Drosophila melanogaster: one gene and its partners. The gene in region 1 interacts genetically with each later gene. Each region holds a gene or a part of one and is shown in the gene's direction. Other genes may lie near its edges. The genes, in order: Lar, Abi, ckn and Sema5c.

Region 1 (4,824 bases):
AAAACAAAAAAAAAAAAGAGATAATTTCTTTGAGGCGGGATACTCACATGAGCAACAAATGCAGTTCATTGTCGGATCCTTCGTTTCCTTGGCTTTTTCTGTTGGCGTTTCCCAGTTTTTCCCACGGCGACTGCTGTGTCGTTTACATATCGTTTTTTGGCCCTCATCTCCTTTTTCTGGGCCACGTCGCGCTGTCTAAACGATTTACGACACTTTGGCCAACTGCCTCACGCACACATTTGCAATATTGTTTGTTTGTAAGTTTGTGTGGGTTGTGCGCGGGCGAGTGTCTGTGATATTAGCATGTAACGAACACACACACACACACACACAGATGCAGGAACAGGAGTTAACTTGGCCAAAAGGCAACACAAAATGCCGCACACGTTCGTTTTTATTATGTTAAATGTCTCCTGGGGCAGGAACATCAGCATCTGCGAGTTGTTTCCATCTGTTCGGTGGCTTTCTGCCTTTTAGCTTTCCTCCCTTCCTTTTGTCTTCTGACTTTTGGTAACTGTCACTTGGCTTGTTACATTTCACATTCACTTAGACTGCAGGATTAAATCTGGAGCGCGCCAAAAATCTAGCTAGCCAGGAAAATTAGCACAGGCCGTTTCTCGCCTTTTCCTGCTCGGCACTGCGCTGGTTCGCCCTTCTGCGAAATATCCTGCCAGCTCGTCCTTTCAGCCGATTTCAGCTTACTGCCCGCCGCTCCAGTTGAAACTGACGACTGGCGAACGACGGTCAAAGTCAATGGCGGGCTTTTCGTGGACGCGATTCGCTTTTCACCTTCGTCGACGGGCTCGGCGCCTAAAAGCCGAACCTTTCCGATTCACCCACGTCGAAAGCTCGTTTAGCCATCTCACCAGGCTCTCTTCGAGCAAGTCCTTGCTGAGAAGGATTGAGTTGCCTTAATCGCAGATTTGCTTCTCTTTGGTTTCATGTTCTAAGCCTCGCAGGTCTCGAATCTCGAAATTGAGTGAGTCTGTTTTGTTGCCTTTGAGCATTTAAAATGCGTTTACATTTCTCATATAAGCCTGTACTCTTTGCGTCTGCAATTCGAGTCCTTTTTAGTTGAGCTATAAATGTTATTACCCAGCAAGCACTTCACTCTAAGAGAAACATTGCTGGTTTTGCTATAAAAGCACTCAGTGATTATCTCAATGTTAAATAAATTAGCTCGAATCGAGCGAGCAGTGTAAACTGGATTTACCATTCCCATACATTTATAAGAATTAAATAATAATTTTTATAATGCTAAAGAAAATCCCAATTTTATATTAAATATAAAATATTTTTTGAAACTCATGCTAAAAATGATGTTTCGTAATTCCTCTCAGTTTATTTTACATTTTTTTCAAATTTATTTTATGTTATTTTATCAAATATTCCTTGCACTCAACTGTTCCATAACATTTTAAACTGAGTGATTTTTGAATGCTATTTAGAATCACTCCGATTTGTGTGCTCTTAACATTTCCCAGAATGGTTTGTCTATTCGATTGAGTTCTGAGTACAAAGTGAGTTCCTTTTGAGTAGCCATCCTTTGGTGTTTCTCTTCCATCGCTCGCAGCTTCGGCTGGCGAATTTCTCGGCTTTTCCGCTCTCCGGAAAAATCCACCACACTCGGCGCTCGGTCGGCGCATCCTCGGGCACGCTGAAGGACTCTTCGGGTCGAGTGGCGACTCACAAACGCACACACTGAACGCGAGGAAAACACGAGCATTGCTGCTAGCAGCCTTAGCCAATCGTAAAAGTTTTGTACGTATTTAGTACAATTTCGGGATTTGGCAGGATGTAACGAGCGTGTAAGAAACAGAGCGCGTCCTTCTCAGCCGTGTGTGTGCGATAATCGGGCAACAAGCAGCGCGACAGCAAATTGTATATTACACAAAATTCGCAAAAAATCCAACGAATCGTTTGAATCCAATTTCGAGTGATATAACATAACCACAGATCGTACTCGGTTATAATGCAATAGCAAAGAGCCGCAGCATTTCGAAAATCCGGCAAAGTGATTTTAGCCAAGTTAACCAAAAACCAAATCGTCGAACTCCTCGGCTTGCCTCGGTTCAACCCCCTTCAACCCTTTCTCCATTAACTCGTTGTTGCCGCTGTACTCGTACATATGTGTGCACTTGTTTTTGTGAACGTGTTTTGCCGCAAGCCGGTTAAAAAATTATTCCCATAATTACACCATCCGAGTTGCAGGCGAGGAACTTCCGCGAAACATAATTACCGAAGAACAACTGACGTAGCCGATAATACCTGGCGGATAAATCGGTAAAATCTAAAGAGAAAACAAACTCTGAAAATTATCAGAAGCCTGGTGTGTGGTGTGTGCGTGTGACCTGGAATTTCCTTATGAATATCGATATATATATGGACTTTATCCTTATCGTCCTGGCCCTGCTAATAAGAAACGGCAATCCTGTGCCGCTGCTCGAGATGGAGATTGAAACGATTGCCCCGGGGAGAAGGGGATTCCTTCGGTCTCCCCATCCTTTCTTCCGTAATAGTGTCGTTTCCTTTATTTGTCCTTTTATGTTTACCTACTTTTTCTTTTTGTGCTCCGTCGTTTCGTCGTGGTTTGGTTTGGTTTGGTTTAGTTTGCTCGCACACAATTGAAAATTCAATTGATTTACAAAATGAAGTTTACTGGTTGGGACGACAGATACTTTTTATCTATTTTCATTTGCAGTTTTACGAGCGAGCAGCTCTTTTTTCGGCCCGCTCCTTTTGGCCTCAAAGCGAAACGGTTGGCAATTTTTCACAGTTCTTTTTCGATTGAGGTCCTGGCGGGGTTTCCTGCAGTTTGGTGCGAAAATAACGCTGCGTCCTGCAAGGATTGTTGTGGCTGATGTTTTCGCTGCCTTCCGATTCGGGTGTGCCGAGAGTGTGTGTTTGTGATTGGAGCGGCCTAAAATCGTTTTAGGACCAGCTGCGAAGTGATTTTCAGCTAAGGCGAAAAAAGGACTGCAGTGTGTGTCCTGTGTGAGTGTGGGTCTGCAGATTGACATAGTTATGTCCTCGGCAAGTAATGGGAAGTTCTTGGCAAGAGCTCAAGAAAATTTAAGTTTGGCCTGGCCTTGCAAAGCTAAATAAGATTCTATATATATAGGTTGTTTTAAAGCCAAAATGTTTACTAATGCTTAAAGCTGTTCTCAAAATGAAGCATTTTTCAATTGACATTATCTGCTATTCAATATTTTCAAGCGAGTTCCTTATTCAGAGCCTTCTGCTCAATTCTCTAGTATAAAATATTATTTTTGAGTAAATTCTCAATAAAACTTATAAAAGTAAATATTCTGAAAAAAAGCCTTTCCAAGTGTTTTGACAAGTATTTAATATTTTCGTTGTAGAAACTCGTACAACACAACTCAACCTAAAATGTCTTTCACCACTTGCCTCAAGGAACTTTCCTCGTTTTTGGTGTCAAGTGTTTTTATTAGAAGCAGAAGCAGAAAGGAGAAAAATTGCCGACGAAGGGGCGAAGTAAAAATTTTTCCTTTCATTCCTTTTTCGATCCAAACTTGAAATGAGGTTTGAAACAAAAACGTTTTTTCTGCGCCAGTGTAAAATAATACGCATACGCCATGTATAACGAATACCCAAAGTAGGCTTCACAAGTGGTAAGGGCTACTTTCTTTGGCAGAAACAGAATCGAAAATCGTAGGATATGGTTGTTAAAAACTATAGGCTATTCTATGGCTTACATTAGCCTAATTGAAATTATATCGCTTGATACATCGTTCGCAGGGCTTGGGGTTAATTAGGTGCTGACCAAGTTGAAATTACTATGTAACTTGTTTATTATATTAACATGTGGTTGCTCCTATTGAATGAAAACAGTAGCTAGATATATATATATATATAGATGGATGGATTGATATTGATAAATGAGAGGGGGCTTAATTTGCTCTTTGCATTTCACAGCGACTCGAACTATCCCCACTCCCATTAGCCCTATGGGCCTCAGTTGGAGCCAAAGCAAAAGGACTAGTACTTCAATGGGCACCCCCCCCCCCCCCACCTTCCATTCTCACTGTTCAAACAGCGTTTTACCATTCGTTCGTCATGCCATCGTTGGCTATATAAAGGCGGCTGATCGGCCACGCCCACTCTTCTTTTTCGCCGCTTGTTGTTGACGTTTACAATTTGGTGTTGAAAACTTCAGCTGGAAATTGGGTAATACTCGTGATGATGGCGTTGGTTGGATGACTGCAGCAATCCTGCATTAAGTACCCTCCTGTGTCTGGATGTCGGTGTGTGTGTGTGTGTGAACGCGAAGGGGTTTGCAACAAAGAAATTTTAATTTATATAGAATGAGTTTGGGGGCGGCAATACCTCCATTTTCCACCACCTCTCTCTCTCCTTTTTTTCGGCTGCAGTCGTCGACATTCCGATGTTCGTGTTCTGTGCTCACAGTGCTCTCACTCACTCACTCGTTCGCACATGGAGACCGAAAAAAATCCAATTATTTTAAAACTTTTGACAACTGCAACAACAAGGCGTTGCAAGGCTATGAAAACAATAAGAAACTGACTGAACAGCCAGAGGCAACAAAAACAATATATGTGTATGTATGTATGTAGGGGAAAGTCGAAAGTCCGCAAAAAATCAAGCAGAAAAATGAGTGTGAGTGCTCGAAAGGGTTGCCAGCCATTATAACTTCACTTGAAAAGTTTAATTGATTTTTACAAGTGCATACATATACATACATACATACATATATATATATATATACGGAGATGGACGCAAAAACATGCATACGTACATATGCCACGGACCTACCTGCAGTCGTGATTCTCGTGATTTCGCTTT
Region 2 (5,447 bases), on another chromosome or scaffold:
TTAGTCCTCTGCGGTGGGACGCGTGAGGCGCTTGGCGCCTCGGTTTGGTGGCCCCTTGGGCTTGGCAAAAGCCGGTCGGTGTAGAATCTTCTTTGGGTGCAGCTCGTCCTGCAAGAAGGCTTCGGTCAGCTCGCTGCCGCTGTCGATTTCAAGCTGAAATGTAAAACGTTGTTAGAAACATGAATCAGATTTAGTATGATTTAAAATTACTCATTATTTATGATTTACAGATTTCTATTTCAAGTGAAAAGTGAGACATTCGCCCTAATTATGATTCAAAATATTTCTAGAGATCGTGAATCAAAAGTATAGTGAATGTGGCGATTTGAAAGCAATAAATAAATCACAAACAATATATACCCTGCTTTTGCTTTTTATAGCCCTAATCTTTAGTGCTATTAGCGCAGCCACACCCACTCGCATTCATATCAACTCACCTTCTTAACAACCTCCACGCCAAGGGCCGCGAGCTCGTCGAGAAAAGGAGCCTTACAGCTTGAGTACATCATGCGCTCGCGCACGGAGCAGGAATATCCAGGCATGGAGTAGACGAACACGTACGACTCAAAGTAGTCGCCCTCGTGCGTGTGCCGAAACAGGAAGAGGTGGTATCGTGCATGATCCTCGGGCACTTGCTTCGGCAGATCGGCGAGCTCCACTTTGGCCGCACGCGAAACATGGATCTGTTCCTCCTCCAGATCGATGCGGAACTGAAGGTAGTCGTGCTTGCCGCGCACCAAATCCTGAACGGCAGCCACGGTTGCCTCGCTCAGCGGGCAATTGATCCCACCCAGAGTTTGGTGCCGCGTATTCGTATTGATCTCAGTGTGAACCTCTGTCTTTCGCAGCTCTTTCAGCTCCTCCTCCCTGCTGGTCAATGGAGCTGGGGCTGCGAAATCCTGCTTGTGCCGGCGATAGCCCTCCAGCGTGCACTCATCCAGAGTGGTGGCATGCAGCTCCTCTGTGATGTATGCTGATCCGAACTCCGTTTTCAACGTGGCCTTCGTGGAAGCGTATACCATCTTCTGTCGGATGCTGGCCGTGTCCGGCGTCCAGCTGATAAGTAGCCAACTGTAGCCCAGCGGGATCTTGGCGTCCAGGCGATAGAGAATATAGCAGGGCACATCCTTTTCCAGTAGGGGACCTATAAGCTTGTCGTAGTCGCGCTCCCAATCCTTTTTCGTCTCCGCCGTGGCGCCGCAACTAAGCTGCTCTGTAATTTGGGGCGGGGTGAAAACGGATGCGGGTTCGTTATCAAATCGTATGCCTAGTATATATCTTGTGTATATACGTTTCTGGATTAAATCCACTCACCATTCTCGATCGAAACTTTTATCACGCGAAATTTACCATTCTTCGCTTTGCCGAACACCTTGGCCAGCTGCTCGTTGGCTGAAAATACAAAGGGTGTTCTAAGGATGCGGATTAGGTGGTTCCCAAAGATAACAAACCTCGGATACCCGTTTGGTGAGACATTTGGACAACAGCTAAAATTAATATTGCCGAAAAAATATATTACTCACAACCAGTGTGACCGCAAAGCGCGAGTAGGGAAATACTAAACCGGGAAATATGTACCGATTCTGATTGGCAATCACTTCAAAGCGGCTTTAAATGTGTAAAAAAAAAAGAATTATTAATTAAAAAGATACTGTAATGCTATTTTTATAACTAAATTTTGGGAAAATTTTTAACACTCTGTTTTATAGAACATACATTTCAAAAATAATACCAAATGTGTCTGCACTGATACAGTGTTGAAAAATTCTTCAAGCTCCAGTACTTTGCAGCACAGGCCAGCGTTCTTTCTTTTTTCACGGAAAATGTAATGAAAAACTGCATTTAACTGCATTTAAAACGTAGCAACTAGCCCGGAAAAGCATCTGTTGTGCAATCGCATAGTCAATAAAGTGAGTGCACGCGAGATTCGTCCGATTAAACCGCTCCAGCGATCAACTGGAGCAGCTGGGCGTCGACGTCGGCAGAGGCCAGCCCACGCCCCAAATGTTTACGGGCGTGAAAAGTGCGGAAAAGCGAGGAATTTAATTGGGTTTTCGTTTCCCGTTTGCCCGCAGCATCCACACCCATGTTGACCGAAACCCCCATGGCCAGCGAGAACATCATGGACGAACTAGCCTCTCTGATACGCACCGAGATCCCCGATGGCCGCCAGAGTCTGCGGGACAGCTACACGAACCTGGAGCGGGTGGCCGACTACTGCGAGGACACCTACTACCGCGCGGACAACAAGAAGGCGGCCCTGGAGGCCACCAAGAACTACACCACCCAGTCGCTGGCCAGCGTGGCCTACCAGATTAACACGCTCGCCTATAGCTACATGCAGCTCCTCGAGCTTCAGGCCCAGCAGCTCGGCGAGATGGAGTCCCAGATGAACCACATCGCCCAGACGGTGCATATCCACAAGGAGAAGGTGGCCAGGAGGTAAGAACAACAAATTGCTTAAACTAGAATAGGAAAAGGGGATATGCATATTTTAAAACGACAAAGAATACGGAATGAACATTTTTGTCTGTAAGTACGACTCATCGGTGATAAAAGCTTCATAGAGAAGAAATGTACATTCATACATGCGTCGTCAGACGTGCTGATAAGACTGAACGTCTCTTTCTTCATTCTTTTCCTACATAACTATTTAGTTTTTTCAATTCACTTTATTTGTATTAATTATTTTTGATTATCTTCATTGTCTTTTCTCAGAGAGATTGGCGTGCTTACGGCTAACAAGGTGAGCTCGCGCCAGTTTAAGATCGTGGCGCCCATCAATCCGGAGAAGCCCATCAAGTATGTGCGCAAGCCCATCGACTACTCGATGTTGGACGAGATTGGCCACGGCATTAACTCGGCCCAGCACTCGCAGGTGCGACAGAAACATCGGGGCTCCAGCCATGGGTCCGTGCAATCCTTATTGCCGCCGTCGGTGGGACCTCCGCCAACCACGAAGCCCCCAACTCCGCCGCAGATGTCGCGAGCTGGGAACACTGGCACACTGGGCAAGTCGGTCAGCAATACCGGGACACTGGGCAAGAGTTCGCGGGAGTACCGCACTCCGCCTGTGGTCAATCCACCACAGGTGCCATCGCACTACGCTCCCAACTATCCTATTGGGCATCCAAAGCGAATGTCGACGGCTTCTTCAACGATGACTACCACCACCACAGGCGGCGGAGCGGCGGGCAATGAACGAGCTGCTGGCTACAGTGCACTTCCGATGCCACCCAGCCAGCAGATAGCCACACATGTAAACCTGCCCTCCGCGGGCATGATGCAATCGCTGCCACCACCGCCGCCCACTACGTACGACGATCGCAGCAGCATGCCACGTGAGTTAATTTGATTATTCTGCAATAGCTCAATACTAATAATGCGGTTTGCAATTCGTAGCAGCTCCTCCTTCACCACTTACGGTTTCGCAGCACGAGATGACCGAGCAGAGTCACATTGGCATGCACACTTTGGGACGCAATATCAACAGGTAAGTTTCTGGAAAATGCAATCCCTTCTTTGTGTAAATATAACCTATTTATTGTTCTCTGTGCAAATCCAGGAATCCAAATAGGTAAATTGCATGTTTCTCTGTTTATCATAGGGTTATACTCAGCTAAAAAAAGTTATACTAGGTTTTCGTGTTTGTACTGTGTATAACTCCATGAAATTCATATGTTATCTTGTATATTAAACGCGTATTTTTCCAAAGGAATCACTTCAGCTTGAACTTCGCTCGTCCCGGCTCACAGTCGCCTCCCTTGCCACCTCCGCCGCCGCCGGAGGATGAGCATCAAGACTTCGGACGACCACGCACATCGACGGGACCGCAGCTGGCGCCCATAGTGCCCGAGGATCAGAACTTACCCGGCTGGGTGCCCAAGAACTTCATTGAGAAGGGTAGGCTGATTGGAGCAACTAACAATATACCTTACTAATTCTTACAAACATTCCAGTGGTAGCCATTTACGACTACTATGCCGACAAGGACGACGAGCTGAGCTTCCAGGAAAGCTCAGTGCTGTACGTGCTCAAGAAAAACGACGACGGCTGGTGGGAGGGCGTCATGGATGGTGTTACCGGTCTGTTTCCGGGCAACTACGTAGAGCCTTGTGTCTAAGCCTCGCATCGATATTCTAAACATGCCAACCATTACAATAATCTGCATCATCTGGTCTGTTCCAGTCCTCTGCTGCTTCTCAAGAGCTCCAAAAAATTTCAATTCAGTTATCGGAGAGTTAGACTGAGGACCGCAACAGACTCAGCTGACAATGACGATAAGATTTTGAGCATATTAATAAGGACAATTATACAATTACACACCTACACAAGCACAGCAGGCCAGAGAAAGCGAATTCCATTAGCATCAGCCAACCGCATTTAGTCTAATATAAACGAGCACACAAACACACAGAATCCACGGGCTAGGGATACCGCTTGCTGCCCAACTAAAACTATTTACACTTTAGTAGCCGAAAACGATGCAAGAAGGGGAAAGTGAAACCGGATACCCGTGAATAACTTATGCGATATTATAAAACTGTTCCACAACCGTAGACGAATTCTGTCCTGCTCCTGCCGCCAATCCAAATACTTTAAATATTTGCTCACAGTTTTATCAAGCGATTTCTGTTTGCCTTGCGCTTTGATATGCCCGGCTATTATACACCAATACTACCCGAACCTATGCCCCCAGCAATACTGTAGGTTATATAAATTTCAGTTAGCATTTAATACTTAAGTATTGGCCAGTTGGAACTTTTGTTTATACTTTTACGAACCGCAACGATGTCTTTTTTTTGCGAACGTTTAGTTAAAATGGAATTGCCAGCAAAGGAATCAAATTAAATTAAACAATACAAGTACACATACGCTCTATATGGTAAAAATAATAGCTAATAAAAATTTCAATTACTAAACCGCAAGCCCTTGTTCTATGACCGTGTAATTTGCGCTGACCTTCTCGTGAGTCGAGCCCCGGATGTCAGTAAAAATCCGTAATTGGGGCAAGGCTCTGTGGCCTGCCAAATTCAAATTCGAAATCTCAAATGCAAATTTCAAGTCGTGTGATGGAAGGCTTGAAATATTTGCAAATGCCAACACTCATTGGGGTCATTCAGTCAGTCAATCAATCCATTATAATCGACACTTTGCTCTACAAACCGATTTCAATTCAATGTCTCGTCCCGGAAAACTTTTCCATAACTCGGCTCCGGGTAAATTAATGCTTTCGTGGTGATATGTGGAAGGTTTTTTACCCATTTGCTAAATTTATTATCAGGTTTCGAGGAGTTGACGTGGCGGAAATGCCAGAAAAAAGTGGAGTGCTGGCATGATTTGCATAAAATGTGCTAAATTGTTGCCCACTTTTTGGGCCCCTCAACTATACATACATAAATATGGAAATACCTTTATTTGTGAACAATTATTGGAGTGGACCTGAA
Region 3 (4,711 bases), on another chromosome or scaffold:
TCTTGTTGATGGTGGTAATGATAATCTGGCCATTGTAGGCGGTCTTTACCGTTATACTATTGGGCGTATTGGCCATGTTCATACTGGCGCTATTCAAGCTGACGCTGCTGCCGTCGTTCAGAATTTGCGAGGGCATTTTCTGCATTTGCTAGCTGGGTAAAATATTTTGATATCACGTAACACACAGAGACAAACAGATTGATAACAGAAAACTGCAAAAATAAGAGTAAATAGATACGAGTTAAAAACGAAGCGGTTTACAGTAAAATAAATTAAAAAGACATTTTACAATTACAAATTAAGCTAAAAGTAAGTTTTATTTTCTAGTTTAAATAAAAAAATATATTTTAATAAACTATTAGTGGCGAAATATATTTATATTTATACATTGACTGAACTTTTTTAAGGATTTGTTATTTTGTAGAAGCTTAACTGTAAAGTGTCGTAGCATTATCTTCAGAATCTGATAGATAAACGAACTTATGAATTTCTATTGCTCTCTCTGTTATCGTTTTCTCTTTGCCCACGAATTTGAAATCCCGCCCAAAACCAAATGTCAACTTTGACATTTGAGGCACACACACACATACGCAGACGCCAAACGAACTGCATGCCACAGGTAGTTGTTGTTGCTTGCGCTGCACCAAATGCGTAGACGTTGATAAAACGAATAAGACAAAACAAACGCGAGTGAATCATGCAAAACGCCCACAAAACAATAAAAGAAGAAAAGTAAGTGGAATTAGCACGCCAAAGCGAGTGTGCAAATTAGTTTATTTTTACTCCTCGCCTCTCCTTCTTTCACCGCTTACTTGGCATCTCAGTACTTAAGTATTTGAGCGTAATTAATGCCGTACATTGACCAAGGTAACTGTTAAAAGTACCCAGTTGGCCGCAACAACAATAGTGCAACAAATGAGCGAGAAAGAGAGAGAGTGGAGGCAGGGCATCGAGAGCGAGCAGGAGAGTCGCCAACCTGTTTTAACTCATTAGCATTTTTCAATTAAGACGCCGCTTTTTTAACATTAACACTTTTAATAAGCTTAAGCTTAGTAATCGACTCACACTGGTTCCTTTAGTTTATTTAACCACAAAAAGTATGCACAAAACGCCGCACAAATATAACACAGGGGACAAATCAAACAGCACGAAACATTTAAATTAAAGCCAATCAGTGCGCCACATACATTTTAATTAAGACACTGGCACTCGCACTCGTTTAATTAATTGTTATGGCTAAAACGAATTAAAACTAACATTGCTATTTCTCCGTTTATTTCGTTGTGGAAGGAGAGCACAAAGCGGAGAACGCGAAGTGACAGCACAGAAAATACCGACAAGGGAGTGCTGCAAGTGCCTCAATAATAACATGTTTACCAACACTGCTAGGGGTCGTTTTTAAATAATTGGTATTTTTGAGCTTCCACACCGGTTTCAGGGGTGGAAAACAATTATGACCGGTGATAAATGAAAAAGTTGTACGTACAACACTATTTAAAGCAAAAATACAAAAGACATTATTTTTTGATGATTATAACATCAACTTCAAAACACAAACTGAGCAGATGACCCAAAAATACTAAAACATCGATACGTCAATACTTTGTGTGCAATCGATGTTTTATTAATGAGGTATTTTCCAACAGCCACGCTGCGATCACACTAAGTTTTGTTTTCGTTTTTCCGCTGTTCGGACGTTTGTAGCGGAAACCCGTTCTTTTGTCGTTAGATTCAAAAACGAAATATATCACAAGTACGGATATCACAACAAAGTAAAGTGATTATAATTACAAAGTAAGAAAGCAGTGCTTAATATATCTGAGAAAATAAAAAAAATAAATAAAACTCAACAAATTGCCACAAAAGAAAATGGCGGCTCAGCAAATAAAAAAGAGCACTCGCGACCACAACAACTGAGCAAGAAATTCAGCTTAAAAGAAACCAACAAAAAAAAAAGCGTCAACATTTTCGTCTGCCTGAAATTAATCTGGTTTTTATGTTTTACTCGCGCGTCGTAGACATAAAATAAAGACAACAAACAGTGAGTTTTGGTGCGAGTGGATGTGTCTGCGTGCGTTTGATGCCGTTTGTTAGTCTCTTGTTTTTGTGGAAAAAACCATAAAAAACGTGAAATTCATTAAGCTACAAAAGCAACAATTACGAGCGTTTTACATTGTTTACATTTTGTGTGCCAGCTTTCGTTACGCTTGTGATTTATGTGATTTGTCGAACGGTAAGAGGAGGAGCGGAGAGAACTTAGCCAAAAGCCTGGAAAATAGTAATATTATCTGCTAACGTAAGTTTATAATATGTACACTTAATTACGTTTACACTTAAATGGGTCTTGGTGTTTTTGGTACATTTCGGACAGGCGGCAACTCTTTTTTGTGTTTTTATTTTGATGCGGCCTTCGTCCTGCGCTGCCTGCGTCGACGTCGGCGTCGCCATCTGTCACTTATGAGGGTTGCCAGCTGTTTCGATGCGCCTTGTATTCAATGCGGCATCTTTAGCATCTGCAGGAAATTGGGTTTTCAACAAAAAAATAGAGGAAACAAAAGACAATCAGGAGGAGGGGTACTCACGACTGCAGCTGCCGCTGTTTAGGCTTATGTAATTAATAAACGAACACGTGTCTGGCATTGCGAACGACACGTGACAACTCTGGTCGTGAGTAGTGGGAGTGTAATAAAACTTAAAGTCTTGTTCTTTATTGTTTTCCTTTTTTTTTATTAATTCTCCGTTTGCATAATTGTCCCTTGCCATAATTAAAATCGAGACCAGCGCTCTACGTAAATTTTTTCTGCTCTTTGGCTGTTATAGCTCAGATTGCGCCATAAAACTCATATAAATCAATAGAAAGCGCAGCAGTACACACTTACACACACACAGCCGGAAAAACCATAACTCACTTGCCATAATAAAACGAGTGAGAGCGAGATAGCTGGAGATGTAGAGAGAGTCCGCGCTCAATATGCAGAGATTTGTGTGGGAATCAAATGACTTGATGTCGTTGTCTCCAATGAAGTGTTAGAATAACGGTTGGGGAGGGGAGTCGGGCGGCAATGGCTCCACCAAGAGATTAGAGGCAGAGAAAGAGAGCGAGAGCATGCAGCTGCGCGGTTCTCAAATAGAGTTACCGCCGATGGAGCCTCGCTCGCTCTTGCGCTCTCTCCCCAAGTGGCTCCATCTCTCTATTTCTCTTATTGCCTTGTGCGGCATGAAAAGTGGTTGTGCTTGGTTCATTCGCTTGTGTGTGTGTGTGTGTGTGTGTGTGCGTGCCTCGGTTTGTTTGTCTTTTGCGTGGCATTCAACGCACAGTGGGACAGATAAGGAGATTATCAATTGCTGTCCCCACTCCCTCTCATTAATCTTCTCGCTGCAATGGAAAAGTAAACCAAGTTGAACGATCTATTAATATCTTACAACTTGAAGTTATATATAGGAACATTGAACGTATAAATAGGGCTCTATCTTTTTGAAGCCCAACTTAATATGTTCAATCTTTATATAGTATCTAATATTTACATATGTATATAGTATCTTACAGTTTGGGTACTTTAGGGCTTTAGCAGAACTTCGGTGAACTTCTTGTAGCCGCCTTCAGTAAGCGGTTCCACTGTGCCAAGTGCATTTCCATCGTTGCCAATGGCAACCACTTTAGGGAATAATGCTTGTGCCTGCTTATTGAAGCTACGCTTTGTTTTCCCATTTCTCTTTCACTACCGCCTTTCCCTCGGTCCCCCTTTTCATTCATTTATTAACTAACTAATTTGCCAGGCCCGAAACAAATTGCCCAGCGGAATTGTTATTGTTTCAATTGCAACAAATTGGCCGCTGAGAAAAATGGTTTTCTCTCCTTGCAAGAGAATGATAGAAAGGAAGGGGAGGGGAAGGGGAGGACAAGTACAAGTACAAGTTGCGCATTCGCTCTCCTTTGGAGCTCGCTCAGCTGGCTCGCTCTCTCTGTCTCTCTCACTTACAACTTCGAGGACTCCGGACTCCAATCGGATTTTACGGACCTGGCTTTAATGCTCGAATGCTGGAGCCGCGATTCAATACGCTTTGGCTTGCGGTCGTCGGCGCTTCTCTTTTTTCGGGCTCCTCTCGCTCGGGGTCTGCGATTCTCCAATTCTCAACACACAGCTACTTTTCTGCTCGGTATATGTCCGCGCGCGCGTGTGTGTGTGTATGTGTGTGAGTTTGAGTGCGTGCATGTGTGTGTTGGTGTTAACGTAAAAAGAAATTTTTGCACAGCATTTATCGTATGAAAAATCAATTGGTATCTTGGTGAAAACCGCAGTTAATGTGAATTTTAAGTGTCATCATTGGATTCGCATAGAAATCTCGAAGGAATTCATCATTTTAACATGGTAATTTGCATATTTTTTGCACAGTTGTTCTGCAAAATCGTACGCATGTGTGCGTGTGACTACGTTTCGTGGTGTGTGTGTGCGTAGTAGTAAGCCGCATACGATTTTTCGCCGAAAATTGTAGGCGGTGGGCGGGGCAAAAGGCAAGTGCCTTAAAAAAGTCTCAAAACGTTCAATTTAGCTGTAAAACGCTGAGCACTACCCTTCATTATTAATGACTACACCGAAAAAAAGTAGTTTAAGCCATATAAATTGGTAAATGGTTCTAGTATTATATATGCCAGTTACTCTCAAAATTCATACCCACGCTTATATTAAAATCATACCTTAGTACATCCCTA
Region 4 (4,703 bases), on another chromosome or scaffold:
AGCCGTAAATTGTCATGGGCTGGCAATGTTTTGGGCCTATGCTAATGTCGATCGTTGTCTGCCCACACTCAACTTTAACTCCCGGATCGAATTGAAACGGATTGGACGGATGGCATCGGTCCTCATGTTTGTGTATCCCTTGGGTTCGTGCTGTGGCATAAACAAAATCCGAGGATCGTGTTGCAGTTGCATTCAAGTTGAGGTTACTGCACCTTCGGGACGGTCCATTTGATGGTTTCGTATTTGTTCTCAGCGACCAGCTGTGTTTTCACACTTACTCTGGGAGTCAAGGCTGACAAAGATCTGAATAGTACAGCCTGGGATGTCTGCAGTAAAAGGAAAACCTTGGAAGGAACACTAAAAAAATAGAACAAAGCCCCACCAGGTGAATGAGCAAAACTAATCCCGTGAAAATGCGTCATATCTGTTGTTGTTCCTTAAATAAGAACTTTATGGTGTTGGACTTGAGATGAGTGATTCAGGTACTGTAAACTGTTGTACAAAGCATTAAAACACCGTTTATACTTCATTATGATAAAGAAATAATTAAATAAGTGATAAATCATTCCTTTTGTATCAAAAATATACTATACTATCTATCTGTATAGAATGAGAAAATCTATTAAATCATTTGTTTTGGCGCCATTTCTATGATTTGCTAATCGAGTATCTTTGCTGATGGGCAAAAACGTCGCAAGGCGGAAAAGATAGGATCTGTTGATCCCTCGTCTGGAGGAATATATCACGTGTCCTCGAACCGCGACGTCGGCAATACTAATGTCAATTTGTCAGGCTACCAAATCGAAGCACAGCAAGTGCCCGTCCCACCCTCCAAGTGGCTTCTCTATACCTCTTCGCGGAGCTGCACATCCCGATCCCGATCCCGGAGATTCAGATTCTGATTCTGAAGAGTCGTTCTCGTTGTCGTTGTCGCATGATATATGAGCGCCCTGCCCAGTTGCTGCTTCGGCTGCCGTAGCCGCGCCTCTTAACTCCCAAGCAGACACTGAGAGAAATTCGTACTTACTTTTGTGGGATGACTTGAAAAATAAATTTGGATTGCTATTACTATCTAAGAGACTTGCCCTTAAATTATTCGATTTAACAAACAGTTCAGTTAAAATAATAAATTACAAAGATGAAAATAAGGTCTTTTAATTATTTTATTATTATTTTTTATTTTTATTTTTACAGTTGAATTATATTATATATAGTTTTTAATTCATTGGATTATTTCATAGGTAAGGACCTCAAAACTATGCTACACTTCTGTGTACTTATAAATTTTATGAATTAAGGCTTGAAAAGTCTTTAACATTTAAGATACTAGCAGAAAATCATTAAAAACGAATACACATAATTCTGAAAAATATTTCTTGAATAAATTATGTAAAATATATTTTCGTTTTTAAATTTTGAATCAAAGGAAAGCGAATTTTAAATATTTTTTTCCTTGTTGTATTGCACATTTTTTCCGAGTGCATTCTTCAAGCCGAAATTGAGCCGGTTATCTTCGTCGGCGTTTTAGCCTGTTCTCTCTTGTTTGCCTCGGCGTTTTTTTTTTGTTTTGCGTTCGTGCTTCGTTTTCACGTTTTTGTTTTCGTTCCATTCGCTTCTCTGTCTCACTCTCTTCTCTCTCTATCGACTGACTATGGATCCGAATCCGAATCCATGGTGGGTTCAGTTTCTTGCGACTCTTTGCGCGGTCAACTTCGCCGATCGGTCGGGCATGCGCGTCCGTATAACTCGTATCTGAATAATCATAAGAGTAGGAAATCGAGGCAGAAGTAAAAACCCGTCTCGCTATATTCGTCGACCGTGTTGTTGGTGTCTATCTGTGTCTTTTGTCAATGTTTTTAACCCAACTCCACTTGAGGGGGAGCCAATCCGCCTTTCTTCTGAAAATTTCTTTCAAATAATACGAAAATCGTATGGAAAATTGAAAAATTGTGAGTGTTGTGTGCAAAGTGAACCACGGTGATCGTAGTTACGGTCAGATCATCTGAAGAATCAGAAACACGCGCCTTGCTCGATTCCCCTGCTTATCAGGCACATGCCTATATTATACAATTTACCAACAGTCTTTTACAATCTGTTCGCCGCAAAAGTTGAATGGAATAAATTTTAGTCTTTTATTTTGCACGAAACGTGACACTAAATGAAGTAAGTTTCGACTATCTCATCTGTATAATCGACGTTTTTTGCTGTTTACAATTTTTGTAATATTTTTTGAGGAAGTGTAAAGTGCTGCAACAAAAACTTATTACTAATCTTCAGGACAGATTAAGGGGTTTCTGTTAAATAGTGAAACATAATTCAAAATGAAATATAATTTAAACTTATTTAAAAGCTAGTGTTTAAGGAATTATTGAAGACAATTTTAATTTAAAAAATTTAAGAACTGTTATTTCTGAGTTGAAAAGAGGATAAATAACATTTAAGAAGAAATTGAGTTAGCGTTTGTTGAACGTCGATAATTAGTTAAAAATGTATGAAAAACTATATTATATCCACAACACACATTACAACTTCATTTCTTTTCTTTTTGCAGCATGTTAATACTGAAACTTCCCAAAATGTTTAGCCAACTGTGGCTTCTTCTGATTCTATCGCTCTTAACCCTAGAAGGCCCACAGCCTTCGACGGGCAGTGGTTATACGACAAAATCAAGTGTGGATTTGCTGGAAAACGATTCGCGATACATCTCATATCAAGGTGAGTTCTCGAGGTGGGCGGATTATCAAAAATTACTCGAAACTGTGTCAATTGCACGGCAATCAATCAAGTTGGCCACTTGAAGCGGTGGAACTGTAAATTGGGTTGATGTCTGTCAAAGTTCTAAGTGATTCCGAGAGTCTGCTGCAATCGATTGCACAAATGTTCGGTTCGATCGAACAGGTGCCATTTCGAATACAACGAATACACCCATCTGCCCAACTGTTTGTATTTGCACGGAATGTCAACAATGATCTCGATTTAACCGAGTTCCCCAACAAACCGCTTTTATGACACCCCAATACATTCGTGTATCTGCTGCTTTTAATCAGAAAAAGTTTCGCATTTTGTTAAAATATTTGTTCTTTTTTTGTGATTTTTGCACTGAAATGTATCTCGAAGTCCGTCTTAAAATGCGAACTCAGCCCAACGTTGTGTTGACAATGATTTTAATTTTTGTTTAGCGCTTTTTTATTTTATTTCGCACTTAAATATTGAAAAGTATATGTTTTACCAATGAATCAGTGAATCTTTTAAAAACCTTGAAAAATATGGGTTAAATAAAATTGAGCTTAATTGTGCCAAGATGCCAAAATGTTTTAATAAATTTGCAATATAATTGCTGAGATAATAATTGCTTATATAATAATTGCTAATATAATTGCTAATAAAACTTCAATTAAATTGCTTAGTATTTGTTTTTACGATTTTGTGCAATCTTTTTCTTACAAAAATGTTTTTATTTTCTTAACAGATTTAATGTCGACGGCCAAACGATTTTACGATCCCGAAACGACCTGGTATTCGGAAATGCTATTCGACGTGGCCAGGAACCAAGTGATTGTCGGCGCCAGGTAAAAACCGGGAGGCTATTGTTATTAGTTATTATAGATTTTGTTTCCGGCCAATTGAGTCACGGCTAAGCCGTGTACCTAGTCATTATGACTGTTTTTATTTTTCCTGTTGCGTCAAAACCCCAAAGATATGTACTGTTTGAAGGACTTGCTTTTTAATTAGTCTCACCGATAAGTGGGTCATTATTTTGGGCATTGATAGCGATAAGAAATGAAAAGGGAAAACACCCCCGAAAATAAATCGTCACTTAAGCATTTGTTAACTTTGGGTTATCAGCAGAGAGGCATTACGTAAAATTCGACGATCAGAAGAAAATAAACAGATGCATTGCGTACGTAAAACGGGTACTGATTATATTCGTCTTCTGTGTTTTTTTAGCGTATTACGCAAGTTACAAAAAAATACACAAAAGTGTATAAAAATGAAAGTGCACGCACTGGTATACCAAAGATTTTTTACATATCAACCAAGATCGACCAAAAACAAAAAAAACCCCTCGTCGAGAACTTATCTCAAGTACCTGCTGTGCGCAAGTGAATAAATAAAGATAATTGAGTGTAAAAAAAAGAATAAAAAAATTAAGAAAAGAGGGAAAGGGAACAAAACCGAAAAGGTAACCAAATAATAATATTGCAGCGCCGAGGGAGAAGTGGTATACTCCGTTTATTTGTTGAGCAATTTAATATACGCGTTTCGAGATACAAAAGTATCTGTCGCTTTAGCCGGGTTACTCGGTTCTTGTAGTTTACTTTTCATTTACGCGTCTTGAAGTTTGTTTGTTTCTGCTTCGCATAGATATGGATGCGATACTACTCCACCTCTGTCGGAAAAAAAAACACGATAAGATACACACATGGACGCATGTGTCTATAGTGTCGTCATGTTGATAAACCCACCTTAACCCATTGCTGCCCGGGAAGGGAAGTCGTTTATCATGTTCCCTTGTCGTCAATCATTTGTCATACTTTTCAGTTTCAGTTTTAGTTGCCTTTTCTATTCTTTATTGCCTACGATTTTCACTTCGACCATAACTCCACTCTGCCATATTTTTTGTTGCTCTCTTATTTACCAACCTCTGAATTATGGCATAATGATAAGAGCCCGATATTAAAAAAAAAAAAAAAGAAAACCGT

What was found.
Region 2: of Lar (region 1) and Abi, changing one enhances a phenotype caused by changing the other (phenotypic enhancement), as found in Drosophila melanogaster (one study listed by BioGRID).
Region 3: of Lar (region 1) and ckn, changing one enhances a phenotype caused by changing the other (phenotypic enhancement), as found in Drosophila melanogaster (one study listed by BioGRID).
Region 4: of Lar (region 1) and Sema5c, changing one suppresses a phenotype caused by changing the other (phenotypic suppression), as found in Drosophila melanogaster (one study listed by BioGRID).

Annotation. Positions count from the first base shown.
Region 1 is NT_033779.5:19,604,799-19,609,622, forward strand, and holds the start of Lar (Leukocyte-antigen-related-like), read left to right. Parts: upstream 1-1,770; 5' UTR 1,771-2,283; intron 2,284-4,824. UniProt on the Drosophila melanogaster protein: Possible cell adhesion receptor. It possesses an intrinsic protein tyrosine phosphatase activity (PTPase). It controls motor axon guidance. In the developing eye, has a role in normal axonal targeting of the R7 photoreceptor, where it negatively regulates bdl.
Region 2 is NT_033777.3:14,118,741-14,124,187, reverse strand, and holds Abi (abelson interacting protein), read left to right. Parts: upstream 1-1,767; 5' UTR 1,768-1,910; intron 1,911-1,938; exon of another isoform or gene 1,939-2,075; 5' UTR 2,076-2,086; coding exon 2,087-2,442; intron 2,443-2,718; coding exon 2,719-3,341; intron 3,342-3,402; coding exon 3,403-3,493; intron 3,494-3,565; coding exon 3,566-3,577; intron 3,578-3,715; coding exon 3,716-3,903; intron 3,904-3,959; coding exon 3,960-4,123; 3' UTR 4,124-4,926; downstream 4,927-5,447. Other genes in the region: twf (twinfilin), read right to left, coding at 1-153, 438-1,213, 1,315-1,392, 1,452-1,476.
Region 3 is NT_033778.4:14,961,630-14,966,340, forward strand, and holds the start of ckn (caskin), read left to right. Parts: upstream 1-1,662; 5' UTR 1,663-2,296; intron 2,297-4,054; exon of another isoform or gene 4,055-4,370; intron 4,371-4,711.
Region 4 is NT_037436.4:12,078,807-12,083,509, reverse strand, and holds the start of Sema5c (semaphorin 5c), read left to right. Parts: upstream 1-1,679; 5' UTR 1,680-2,158; coding exon 2,159-2,163; intron 2,164-2,551; coding exon 2,552-2,715; intron 2,716-3,469; coding exon 3,470-3,569; intron 3,570-4,703. UniProt on the Drosophila melanogaster protein: Regulates the motility of migrating epithelial cells by providing guidance cues within the migratory environment and may also play a role in development of the olfactory system. May act as a positive axonal guidance cue.